Drosophila melanogaster: one gene and its partner. The protein of the gene in region 1 purifies or fractionates together with the protein of each later gene. This does not show direct contact. Each region holds a gene or a part of one and is shown in the gene's direction. Other genes may lie near its edges. The genes, in order: hyx and atms.

Region 1 (5,941 bases):
GCCAATGTTTAATTAGAAAACACATATGCAAACGGGTCATGGGGAAAAGGCAGTGCTGTTCGAAGGAAAAGAAAAGGGAAAGGACTTCAGACAGGCCAAGGAAAATGAAGGAGCCGTTTGAGGAGCAGTTGTCGTGTTTCATATATATGTACATACATATGTATAAATACCCGAACTAATCCTGCGGACACAAAAGGGAATTCAGGAGAACAGAACCCAAAATTGCGCAAGCACTTGAGAAACAGAGCAATAGTGGAGGAGGTATTCCCATATGTATTCCCAGTCTGCAAGGATCGAGGGTATAGTGAATGTTTGTACATATTATATTGTGGAGAACAGAGTTTGAGGATATGGTTAAAATTACACGTTGACAACTATTCTAAGATACTACTAATAGAATTCTAATACTTCTTTGCAGACAAGATAGTATTATACATCTTCTACATAGCTTTAAAGAAGAAGGTCTTTGTAGATCTTAAAGATTCCCATACCGAGGGTTGCTTGCCGTCCATATACTCTCTTCAAAAAACCTGACTTATTCAGAGGAACTCCTCCATATTTTGAGGATACCTGCGACAGCAGTTGGCTTCATCCCGAAACTCCGATCAAGATCTAACAAAAGGGAACTAGAATGCATCCCATTTGCCAACTGCAACTTAAACTTCCACATCCACTTCCCATTTCCGCATCCTCGCGTGCGTACGCTAATCAAATATCAACATCGCCGAGGAATAACCGCCAATGCAACACATGCGGGGGAAACTGCGTTCCGTTAGAGAAATATACGTTCTGTTGGCCAAATGTTTGCCTTTTCAGGGGGTTTCGGCTTTCACGGTTTTCATATTGCAGTTTTTTCCCGCCCGTAAAATGGAAAACCTCCCTTGTCCCATGAAAAATGCGAGATCTGCGCTTGGAAGATATCTTTTCGGTTACTCCGATGCAAACAGGACATTTGGCAAGTCATAGAAAGAAGTTCCTGGCGGGTTTCCAGCCCACAGCATGTGTCTTTGTCTCAGGGTCAGGGAGTTACAACTCGGTGATCCTACCTGAACCGAGCGCCTATTGGGGTTTACTTATTCTCTCCTCCGCCTTTGTGCGATCCTTCGTCCTTCGTCTTGTGCCCGTTTTGTGAGAAATCATTGCCATAAACTCTATAATTTATTGTCCACAGCTGCATGGGCATCTTGGGTCTAATCGAAGCTGATACGATTCGATGGAGTCCCTGATGATGTGGATGTGTTAAGCAGGTAAGTGCAGTTCTGCAATCCCCGTAAAATACACCTGTAAGGATACGATGTCCATTGCGCCAAGCTTCGCGTCCTACAATCAGACTTATTTTCCTGAGCTGATTTTATGTCGGGATTTGTAGAAATCTTCTTTTTTAAATTTTTACCACCTTATTTTTTTTGACTTTTCGGTAGCCTAAGCTGCTTACTACTTTGATATCTCTATAGGCGGGCTCGGAATAATTGTTTAAGTGTACTTGCATGGGTTATACATCTTTTGCTTTTATGGTCAGTTCTTTGGGGATGACCTCTAATAAATAAAGTTTAATTTATTATCACAACGTTACACCAGTTTCTAAACGTTTAAACGTTTGTTTTGGTCTTTTTATTTCATATGGATAGAATGTGAATGGAAAAGCTTCAAAATCACACGAGCTTTTAAAATATTTTCAAGGAACCTAATAGGAAATATTTTGAAATCACAGATATCATATATTAGGTTTTAAATCCCAACAGAAATAATGTTATAGTTAAAATCAGGTTTTACACCTGTAAGATTAAAATCAAGTAACAAAAACTATCGACACTAACGCGAAACCAGCGAGTGTCATCGCTAAGGGGGATCAGCTGTTTGCCAACATGTGAGTGTGTGGGTGGTGGGAAGGTCACAAACCTATTGGAATGCCCATAGTTTTTTAATTCATATTCAAGCGGGGCTTATAACTGTAATACACTTTACTATAACTTTAGGATTCCATTTTAAATAGAAACTTTACCAACTTATGGCGATTCGGCTTATTTGTTGTAAGGTGACAGACAAGCTAAATCCTCCTTACGCGACATCCCATGTTAAATCAAGCCTTGTTTACTTACCTATTTTACCAGCCGACTGACCCATTGCTTAATTAAAATCACAAATTGCGTGTTTCGCTTCCCGAAAGGCACAAGAAACAACAGCCACAACAACTAGGACACACACAGCTTCTTTGGCATTGAATTTTCACGTAGACCAGCCCTCGCATAAGCTCGATATTATGTGCACCGTGAGCCGATCGTGTGCTATTGGCAGGCTAGCTCACTTCCGGAATCATAGGCGTTAAATGCGATGCATTTTAAAGCTTTGCCTAATTGTTATTTGGATGGAGCTGCCGGTCGCAAGGCTTTTTTTTAGTGTGACCGCGTTAGTATTTAAACATGACAGTCCAGCTTTGCCATCTGCCACACAAGAATATACCATACAATATTTATAAATAAACAAATCACTAGACGCGCTAGAAAAGTCATTTACTTCGTTTATTAATGATGCCAATTCCTGAAGATGTGAAGTGTTCTAAAGAGTTGTCGTTGTATAACGTGCCATTAAGAAAACTAATTGTTAACAAATCACAGGATACGAAAAGCCGTGACTTAGTGCGATATTTTTTAAAGACGAAACTTCAGCGATTTATACCAAATGAGAAGCGATGCACTCTCTATGATATTTGGTATTTTTCACCCCGCCTACGGTCACACTCCACGCAACCTCTGGCAAAAAACTAAAAATATGCCATAAAAAGCGAGAATCGAAGTTGTTTATATATCTTTCGCGGATTACAAAGTGCGTAGCCGCCGCGCGCCTTCCAGAGCGACACCGACCACACACGCCCGCCGCCCGAAAACACACAGAAAACCGGCAGAAAAATGGCAGATCCGCTCAGCCTGCTTCGGCAGTACAACATAAACAAAAAGGAGATTGTCGAGCGAGACAGCCAGATTATCTTCGGCGAGTTCTCCTGGCCGAAGAGCGTGAAGACCAACTATCTCAAATATGGGTAAGTGCGGTCAGGACGACCTGTGGGACAACTAGGATTAGCCACTAACTCTTACACTTTTCTCCCGTCGATTAGATCCGGTAAGAAGGGCGCTCCACGTGAGTACTACACGCTGGAGTGCCTGCTGTACCTGCTCAAGAATGTGATGCTGCAACACTCGGTCTACGTGCGACAGTGCGCCGCCGAGGATATACCCGCTGTGAATCGGCCGGATCGTAAAGAGCTCCTGGCCTATCTGAATGGCGAGACGCCAACGTGTGCCAGCATCGACAAGAGTGCCCCGCTGGAAATCCCCACTCAGGTGAAGCGTGCCGCCGAGGGTGAACCTTCCAGCGTTGAGGTGGCTGCCAAGAAGGCCCGCTTCGAGGAGACTCAAGTGCAGAAGGTGCGCGAGCAATTGGCCGCCCGATGGGATGTCAACCAGAAGGAGACCGCTGTCAACATGGACAACATCAAGTCGCTGTCCGAGACGATGTCCGTTGAGAAGATCGCCGCCATCAAGGCAAAGCGTCTGGCCAACAAGCGAACGACCATTAAAAGGACGGACAATGACGAGGCCATGGGAACTGATTTGCGTGCCATCCTGGACTATGATGTGGACTCCACAAAGGACATTATCAGCAGAGAACGGCAGTGGCGCACGCGAACTTCGATTCTGCAAAGCACGGGCAAGATCTTTGCCAAGAACATCTTTGCTATGCTTCAGGGCATCAAGGCGCGCGAGGAGGGACGCAATCGTCCACAGGTGCCCAATCCCATTAAGATGCCGGAGCCGGCTCGAATAGCCAAACCACAACCGCAGCTCTCGCAATACAACCGTTACGACCAGGAGCGCTTCAATCGGCAAAAGGAGGAGACCGAGGGCTTTAAGATCGACACGCTCGGCACATACCACGGTATGTCGCTGAAATCCGTGACGGAGGGCTCACTGGCTCAGCGTAAGGCGCAGGCTAACAACCTACCGGGAGCACCGGGTGTAATAGCGGGAGCAGCCGCCGGGCGGCCCAAGGAATTGCTACCTGCGGCCCAAGCTCGGCAACTGCCCGCCAATGGTCCATCGAAGCGAACATCTCGCACCCCCATTATTATCATACCGTCTGCCAACACAAGCCTCATTACCATGCTCAACGCGAAGGATATCCTGCAGGAACTGCGCTTCATGTCCACCTCGGATAAAAAGCTGCAGGGCTGCCAGCGCGAATGCGAAGTGCTGTTACAGGTGCGATTTAATGTAACGAATTCTCTTCCAAATGGTTTATATACCAAAAGGTTTTACAGCATTTGTTTCCGAAGATGTATTCAATTTCCTATTAAAATATTAAAGATAAGAGTTGGCATACACCAGTGCTAATTTATTTTCCCTTTTATTCACACATAGCGAAAACGCAACAATCAGACTGTGTCTTACCGGGTGATAGATAATCCCACCAAGCTCTCGCAACAGGAGTGGCAACGGGTGGTGGCCGTCTTCGTTATGGGACCCCAGTGGCAGTTCAAGGGCTGGCCTTGGGAAGGCAATCCCGTCGATATATTCTCAAAAAGTTAGTTAACATCATGCCCAGCTCTCTAAGTTTAATTCACTAAGTCTCATTTTCTTACCTACTGCAGTTTGCGCTTTTCATTTGTGCTTTAGCGAAATGAAATTGGACTCAAACGTGGAGCGCTGGTCAGTGACGCTACTCCGACTATCGCAAAACAAGCGTCATATGGATCGGGCAGTGCTCAGCAAATTTTGGGAAACTTTGGACAAGTAAGTGCTTATATAAAAATCCACCATTTCGTTACAAAAGATTTACAATGCAATCTTTTTAGATATATAGCCAAGTACAAGCCCGATTTACGATATTAACCCTCACCGCATTCTTAAACGTTCTGCTGAAACACGACACCTGCTGTTTTCAATCCCACTCCCAAGTAGTTACCATTATTATAGACAGGCTGTACTACATTATGCAACAAACGACGCAAATAGTATGTTACAGTGTGCGCCCAACTTCCGTAGGAAAGACACCAAGCCGAATCTGGGGCATTTGGCCAGTTCCAGTGCGAGTTTCCGATTAGAGCCCGACCAGGATTATCTCGCTTTTGGCAACAGCATTATAAGTCGCAGGCCTGCGATCGTGCAAATAGGCCCAAATACGCAGTTAGTAGTTAAGATAAAGTTTTTCGTTCAAATTGTACAATGTAAACTACAAAACACAAACATCTGAGAGCAAGTATCCTTTGTATTTTTAGTGATAATAAACAGTTAAAAGCCATTCTGTTTCGGTTATTCAAACAGAAGGTAACATAATTGGAATTTATTTGGCTGTCATCAAGTATATTTTCTCAATTATTTAACCTTTTCAAAGATCATATATTGGAACTTTTTCATACCTCCCATCGTTAAAGTCATAAATCAAACGAAATAGTAGTATTTCATTATTTCTGTTTATATAGCAAAATATGTGGGTTTATGTCATGTTAGCTTGTGGTCAGTAACTTTACTATCTAATATAGGTTTAGGGGATTAAATAAAAATACTATTTCTCGGCCAGCGAAGCACGATAGTTACTGGTGAATCTTCAGGAGGACTTGCGATCATCGAACTGCTTCCTGGCTGCCTTCAGCGTGTTGTGCATCAGCATGGCCACCGTCATGGGACCAACTCCGCCGGGCACAGGAGTGATGTGGCCGGCGACCTGGCGAACTTCTGCAAAGTGATGAGGAAATGAATCAATCTTGTTGGTCTTTAGTGATTTAATAGATCAGCCACACACCTTCAAAGTCCACGTCTCCGACCAGCTTAAACTGGCCAGTGCTCTCATCCTTGATGCGGTTGATGCCCACGTCGATGACACAGGCTCCGGGCTTAACCATGTCCTTGGTGATCAAACCCGGCTTTCCCACTGCGACCACAATGAT
Region 2 (5,043 bases), 4.3 Mb from region 1:
GTTGGCAAAAGGGAAGATGGAGTTAAATGACATTTAGTCAAACTTAAATCCTCAGATGGGCGTTTTTTGGACTGTAAACCGCATTAGGCACTGACATTTTGCAGCCGTTAGCCGCCAACTGATTTATTGGCATAATAGCGATACACACTAGCATTTTTAAATGGAAAGTGCACCATCTGGAGAGTGGAAATTTCAAGAGACAAATATATAGAAGGAAGAATAAGTAACTTTTGATTTTCCCTTGGCATACCCGATTCCCTCGTCCGTCGTCCGCCTTTATGGTAATTTTCCCGGACAAGGCCCTCGGTTTCCGTGTCTTGCCCGGCTTATTGCCCATTCTCCTATGGCTATGGCAGATCGGGGAAACTGGTCACCTGGGATGGACAATGTCCGGCGGACACCGATCAACTAGAGAACTCTCGTTCGCGACAGCTGCCTCAGAGCTAATAGGAACAGCGAATAATGGAAATTTATATGTACATATGTATTTACGATGAACAATTGCGAATAAAGAAAATAGCAGAACAGCCTGCGACGCAGCATACCCACACATATGTACAAAGTACATAACCGAACACACACATATGTACCTGTAGACGTGTGAGTTGAATTATGCCTCTGCCGAAAGTGGCTGCATTGGTACATCGCGGACGGAGCACGCCTCCAAGTCCAGCTATTAACTTACCTTAATGCCGCCATCGTTTTTGTTGATCTCCCGCAGAACGCCGCGACCACCAAATCCCATTCCTAGGCCATTTTCTGCGTCGTCGAATTCCATGGCATATGTGTATCCCGGCAGGCAGCGCTCTTCTACAGGCCGATGACACAGTTAAGCTATACGTTTTCGGATAAAACTCTTATTTATCGCAATATGAAATTGGTGACGCGAATTTCCAACGTTGCTTTGGCGAAAATGCCGCTACAATTTGAAGAAGCATAAGTGACAGTGTGGCCAAATTGCCAGCAGGGAAAAAATACCAGAGGGCAAATGTTACCTAGCATGTTATTAATAACATTATTTAATTGCACTTACACAATATTTCGATCTATGAATGGTTAAATAAAATCCAAGTTTTTCTTTATTTTTTTTTTCAACGAATTTTCAAGTAAATGAAAGTCGGTCAAAATAAAGAATTGGAATTAAAAAGGGAACAGTAGCTTTGGTATTATTACCATAATCACTTTTGTCACCGAGAATATAATGTTTGCTACCTACTTATGTAGATATACACAGTATTATAATACTGCATTTTATATTTCTAGCACACGATACTTGAAGAGTACAAGTCAAAAGTTTAAAGTATAACACAGGTAGATCGCATATAAAAGTTTTCAAGTACATTATTGTGCCAAAAAAAATTTTACATTTGACACAGTTAATACGCTTTTTTAAACAAACATTTGACACGCTGCAGTAAAATATTGATATTGGATATGTTGTATTGAAGTAGTGACGACTGCTCAATTTTTTTATGTAGTGAAATGTAAAATCATCTTTTATCACAATAAAGTTAAGATGTGTTGTTGTTTGATATTATTTTTATAAAGAATAACTTATAGGAATATATTTCGGAAAGTGACCTTATATAACAACGATTTATATGCATCGTATTGTACATATTTTCGGAGTCTGCCGTATTATTAGCGCAGAAAGTCCAAATATTTAATATTAAAGTATAAAACTAGGCACTTCATTCTCTTAAATCCATAAACGAGAGCACTTCTACTCGACGATTATGTTTCTCTTTATTAGGGCTGGCAACACCGTCACCCTATTTTGTTGCCTTCTGAGAATTGTAATGCAACCGCGTAACTCAACGACTCAACCGTTCGGGATTCCGAAAAGTTATATATTTGGAAATTTAACTAATAGTGAACAAGTATTTATTTATTCTTAACCAGGATCGGTCCGTCCATGTCCGTATGAACTTCGAGATCTCAGGAACTATGTATGTACATTAGTACGCATGTATAAGAGCTAGAAAGTTGAGATTGGCCATGAAGGTTCCAAACTTCGGTCCTATCGATTTGCCAGAACACTTCTTGCCACGCCCACAAACTGCCAAAGATTGCTATGCCCACACTTTTAGGAAATGTTTTTGATTTTCTTATTGGTTTTGTAAATTTGTACCGATTTACCAACAAAAGCAACGCCCCTTCTGACGCCCACAAACCGCCCACACTTCTACAAATTTAAAACTTCTTTTTGTTTTAATATATATTTTTTTTCAATTTCTATCGATATAACAGATATCCCTCGTTAATTAAACAAAAAACAAACAACGATAAAAAATAAATCAATTCGTTTTTATGATGATGCTTTATTAGAAAAATATTGCTCTTTTGCCATGTATAACACTTCCTTTTATGTAGTAACCAATATATGATAACATTCAACAAGTTGCTAAGCGTATTCACTAGGTGATGCAACTTTAAAAATATTATGTATTGTAATTTATGCCTTGTGTATTTATGTAGAGCCTGAAAACTACTAATTGTTTTATTTTAAATTAGCTTGGTAATTGATAATTACAATACGTAACGAATGTAAATTATTCAATGTGTAGGTTAATATTATTGTTGTTCTAATCAATTAGTATTATTAGATTAAGGTAATTAATAAAAGTTGTCCATAATATATAATTATTGTGTAACTACTCGTATGTCTTTTCATGAAATTCTCTCCAGGTGTTTACAACACAATCACTTAATGTGGAACCACAGGCCTTTAGAAGGATCACCATTTAAAGATGGTTTGTCTGTGCAGTGAGGTTCGATTCGGTACGTTTTTGATTTGGTTCAATAGTGACTGCTTAATACTGGGCTTTCTCCTTTTTCTCAAGGTGTGCTCCACATCTGACTTACTTTCTTATGAGACTACTAATTATGGCTGCGCTGAAGCTTATCCCAGACTTGAATGATTTAAGGTCTTCTGAGGATAGCCTAAATAAACTAATCCCTAAAATTAAAGGTAATGGAAAATATATGTATGGGTTTGGGTTTTGTCGGCGAGCTTATTTATCCATTTAAAATAATTTGCTCGAGGATTCTATTCCACAGCTTTAGCTTAAGTGTTGCCTAAGGTAATTTTGTTTTCAAGTGCGCGAGACTTTCTCACTTGAGCACTCCGATTTAGGTTGAAGTTGATGTACGTACTACAAAAGTGTGCGAAAATTCTAGTAATATATTGACTCTTCCTCTTAAAAAGGATAGCTAATGTGTCTTACAATAAGTGCGCCCATAAACTTATAAAGCGGGCGCATAGTATATACCGCTAACAAATTGTATAGACTATAGTTTACAAGTCACAGCACCACCAAAGTGAACCAGATCGCGGCCATAGCTGTGAATCTAGCAATATCTTAACTTTTTGAACATCTGCTTCTTTCCCTCAGCATATGATTTATTATCATAGAGGCTCCACTCCTGGGCTATAGAAAAATTTCTATATCTTAAGTCCAAACACACCGCTAATTTGTCAACGCACGCTTTCTGAAGGCAGTTCACATGGGTGGGCCATCCTCGGTTATCTTGGTCGTCCAAATGCCGGGCATCAGTTGTGGAGGTAGATTCGATTGCGGCGTGTTTAGTTTTAAAATAGTGCTGTTCGAGTGGATGGTCTTCGAGGTGGGGCTGTACCCCTTGTTGTCCATGCCGTCAATGATGGTGAACTGCGAGGTGATGTTTTGGGTTCCCTGTGCAGCAGGCGAGGAGGGTCTTGAGATGGGATGGGTCCTGGGACTGCTGATCAGGGAGGTGCACAGGCCACCGAGAATGGCCAGAGATGCGAAGGCCGTCTGGGGAATGAGTTGGCCGAAGACCACTGTGGATCCAATAAAGGGCGCTCCCAGCAGCCAGAAACGGGCCCAGCAAATCGTGGAGAAGGAAGTGATCTTCTTCTTGTCATCGGAAACCAGCTCCACCGTGCAGGTAGTCAGTATACTGAGCGTAGTGGAAATGGCCATCTTCGAGACCATGGCAGAGCACATCAGCAGGGCTACATTCGGATCCAGCCCAATTACGCTGGGCTTCGGGACCAGCCAGCCGCAGTAGGCAATGCATCCTGCCACGATGTTAAAGAGTCCCGTCCACAGCCACTTGCGGGTGGTTTTCAGAATCAGGAAGAGCCCGAAGAAAGTGCCCATCATCTCGCTGAAGCCCGCGAAAAAGGTGTTAATGTACAGGTGGTCGCGACTGAAGGAGCGGATGTTGAGCAGCATGCCGTAATAGACCACAATGTACAGCGACCAGGCCAGGTGCACACACACAATGTGTCGCACCGCTCGCTCCCCCTTCCACATCGACCACCAGCCACTCGGCGGAGGAGCGTCCATGGCGGTCTGCGCCTGCAGCTCCAGCTGCTGGTCGATGTCGTGCGGTAGGTTGTAGCCCGTCCCATTCACCTCCACGCACTCCAGCAAGATCTTCTTGGCGTCCTGTGTGCGTCCGCGGGCGATAAGCCATCTCGGCGAGTCGGGAATCCACCTGTAAAAGGGATGCGAGACGCAAGTGTCAGTATGGGCCACAAAATGTTGGTACACATGAATGCTGCACAGCAGTTCCTTTTTGGGCTAGTAATCCTGATAATAAATGTATTTTATGAGGGTTACTTATAATACGTTACTTATGCGAATCTAGATAACCCTCTAACTCTATGAGTTTGCTATCAATATCTGTTTTTGATTACTCACTGCCACAGATAGATTAGTATCACAGTTGGCCACGAGATGGCCATGTAGAGGTGGGACCAGCTGGACCAGAAGCTGGCAACTCCGGGCAACATCATTACCCCAATAGACCAGAACTGCTCAAAGAGTGTGGAGACGCAAGTTCGGTACTTTCCCCCCGTTATGTCGGCCACTGTAGTAAGGAGCAAATAATTAAAAATTCATTAGACATATCCATTTACATTTAAACTAAGTCTTGCCACTTACTGATTTGGCCTCCGGCCGTGTACATCTGGGCACAGCAAACGGCGGAGAGGCACCGGAAGAACACGTGGAGCTCGTAGGAGGCCACGTGCCCCGTGAGGTTACCACAAAA

Evidence for each region.
Region 2: the proteins of hyx (region 1) and atms purify together in Drosophila melanogaster (affinity purification with western blotting; 2 studies listed by BioGRID, with this or other methods). This does not show direct contact.

The regions. Positions count from the first base shown.
Region 1 is NT_033777.3:9,037,056-9,042,996, forward strand, and holds hyx (hyrax), read left to right. Parts: upstream 1-1,704; 5' UTR 1,705-1,867; intron 1,868-2,099; coding exon of another isoform or gene 2,100-2,124; exon of another isoform or gene 2,125-2,416; intron 2,417-2,615; 5' UTR 2,616-2,906; coding exon 2,907-3,037; intron 3,038-3,112; coding exon 3,113-4,256; intron 4,257-4,415; coding exon 4,416-4,578; intron 4,579-4,645; coding exon 4,646-4,787; intron 4,788-4,849; coding exon 4,850-4,886; 3' UTR 4,887-5,294; downstream 5,295-5,941. Other genes in the region: Nmdmc (NAD-dependent methylenetetrahydrofolate dehydrogenase), read right to left, coding at 5,602-5,729, 5,797-5,941.
Region 2 is NT_033777.3:4,748,106-4,753,148, forward strand, and holds the start of atms (antimeros), read left to right. Parts: upstream 1-1,929; 5' UTR 1,930-1,949; intron 1,950-2,303; exon of another isoform or gene 2,304-2,688; 5' UTR 2,689-2,781; exon of another isoform or gene 2,782-2,843; 5' UTR 2,844-2,971; exon of another isoform or gene 2,972-3,503; coding exon of another isoform or gene 3,504-4,485; intron 4,486-4,691; coding exon of another isoform or gene 4,692-4,860; intron 4,861-4,934; coding exon of another isoform or gene 4,935-5,043. Other genes in the region: CG44098 (uncharacterized protein), read right to left, coding at 3,504-4,485, 4,692-4,860, 4,935-5,043.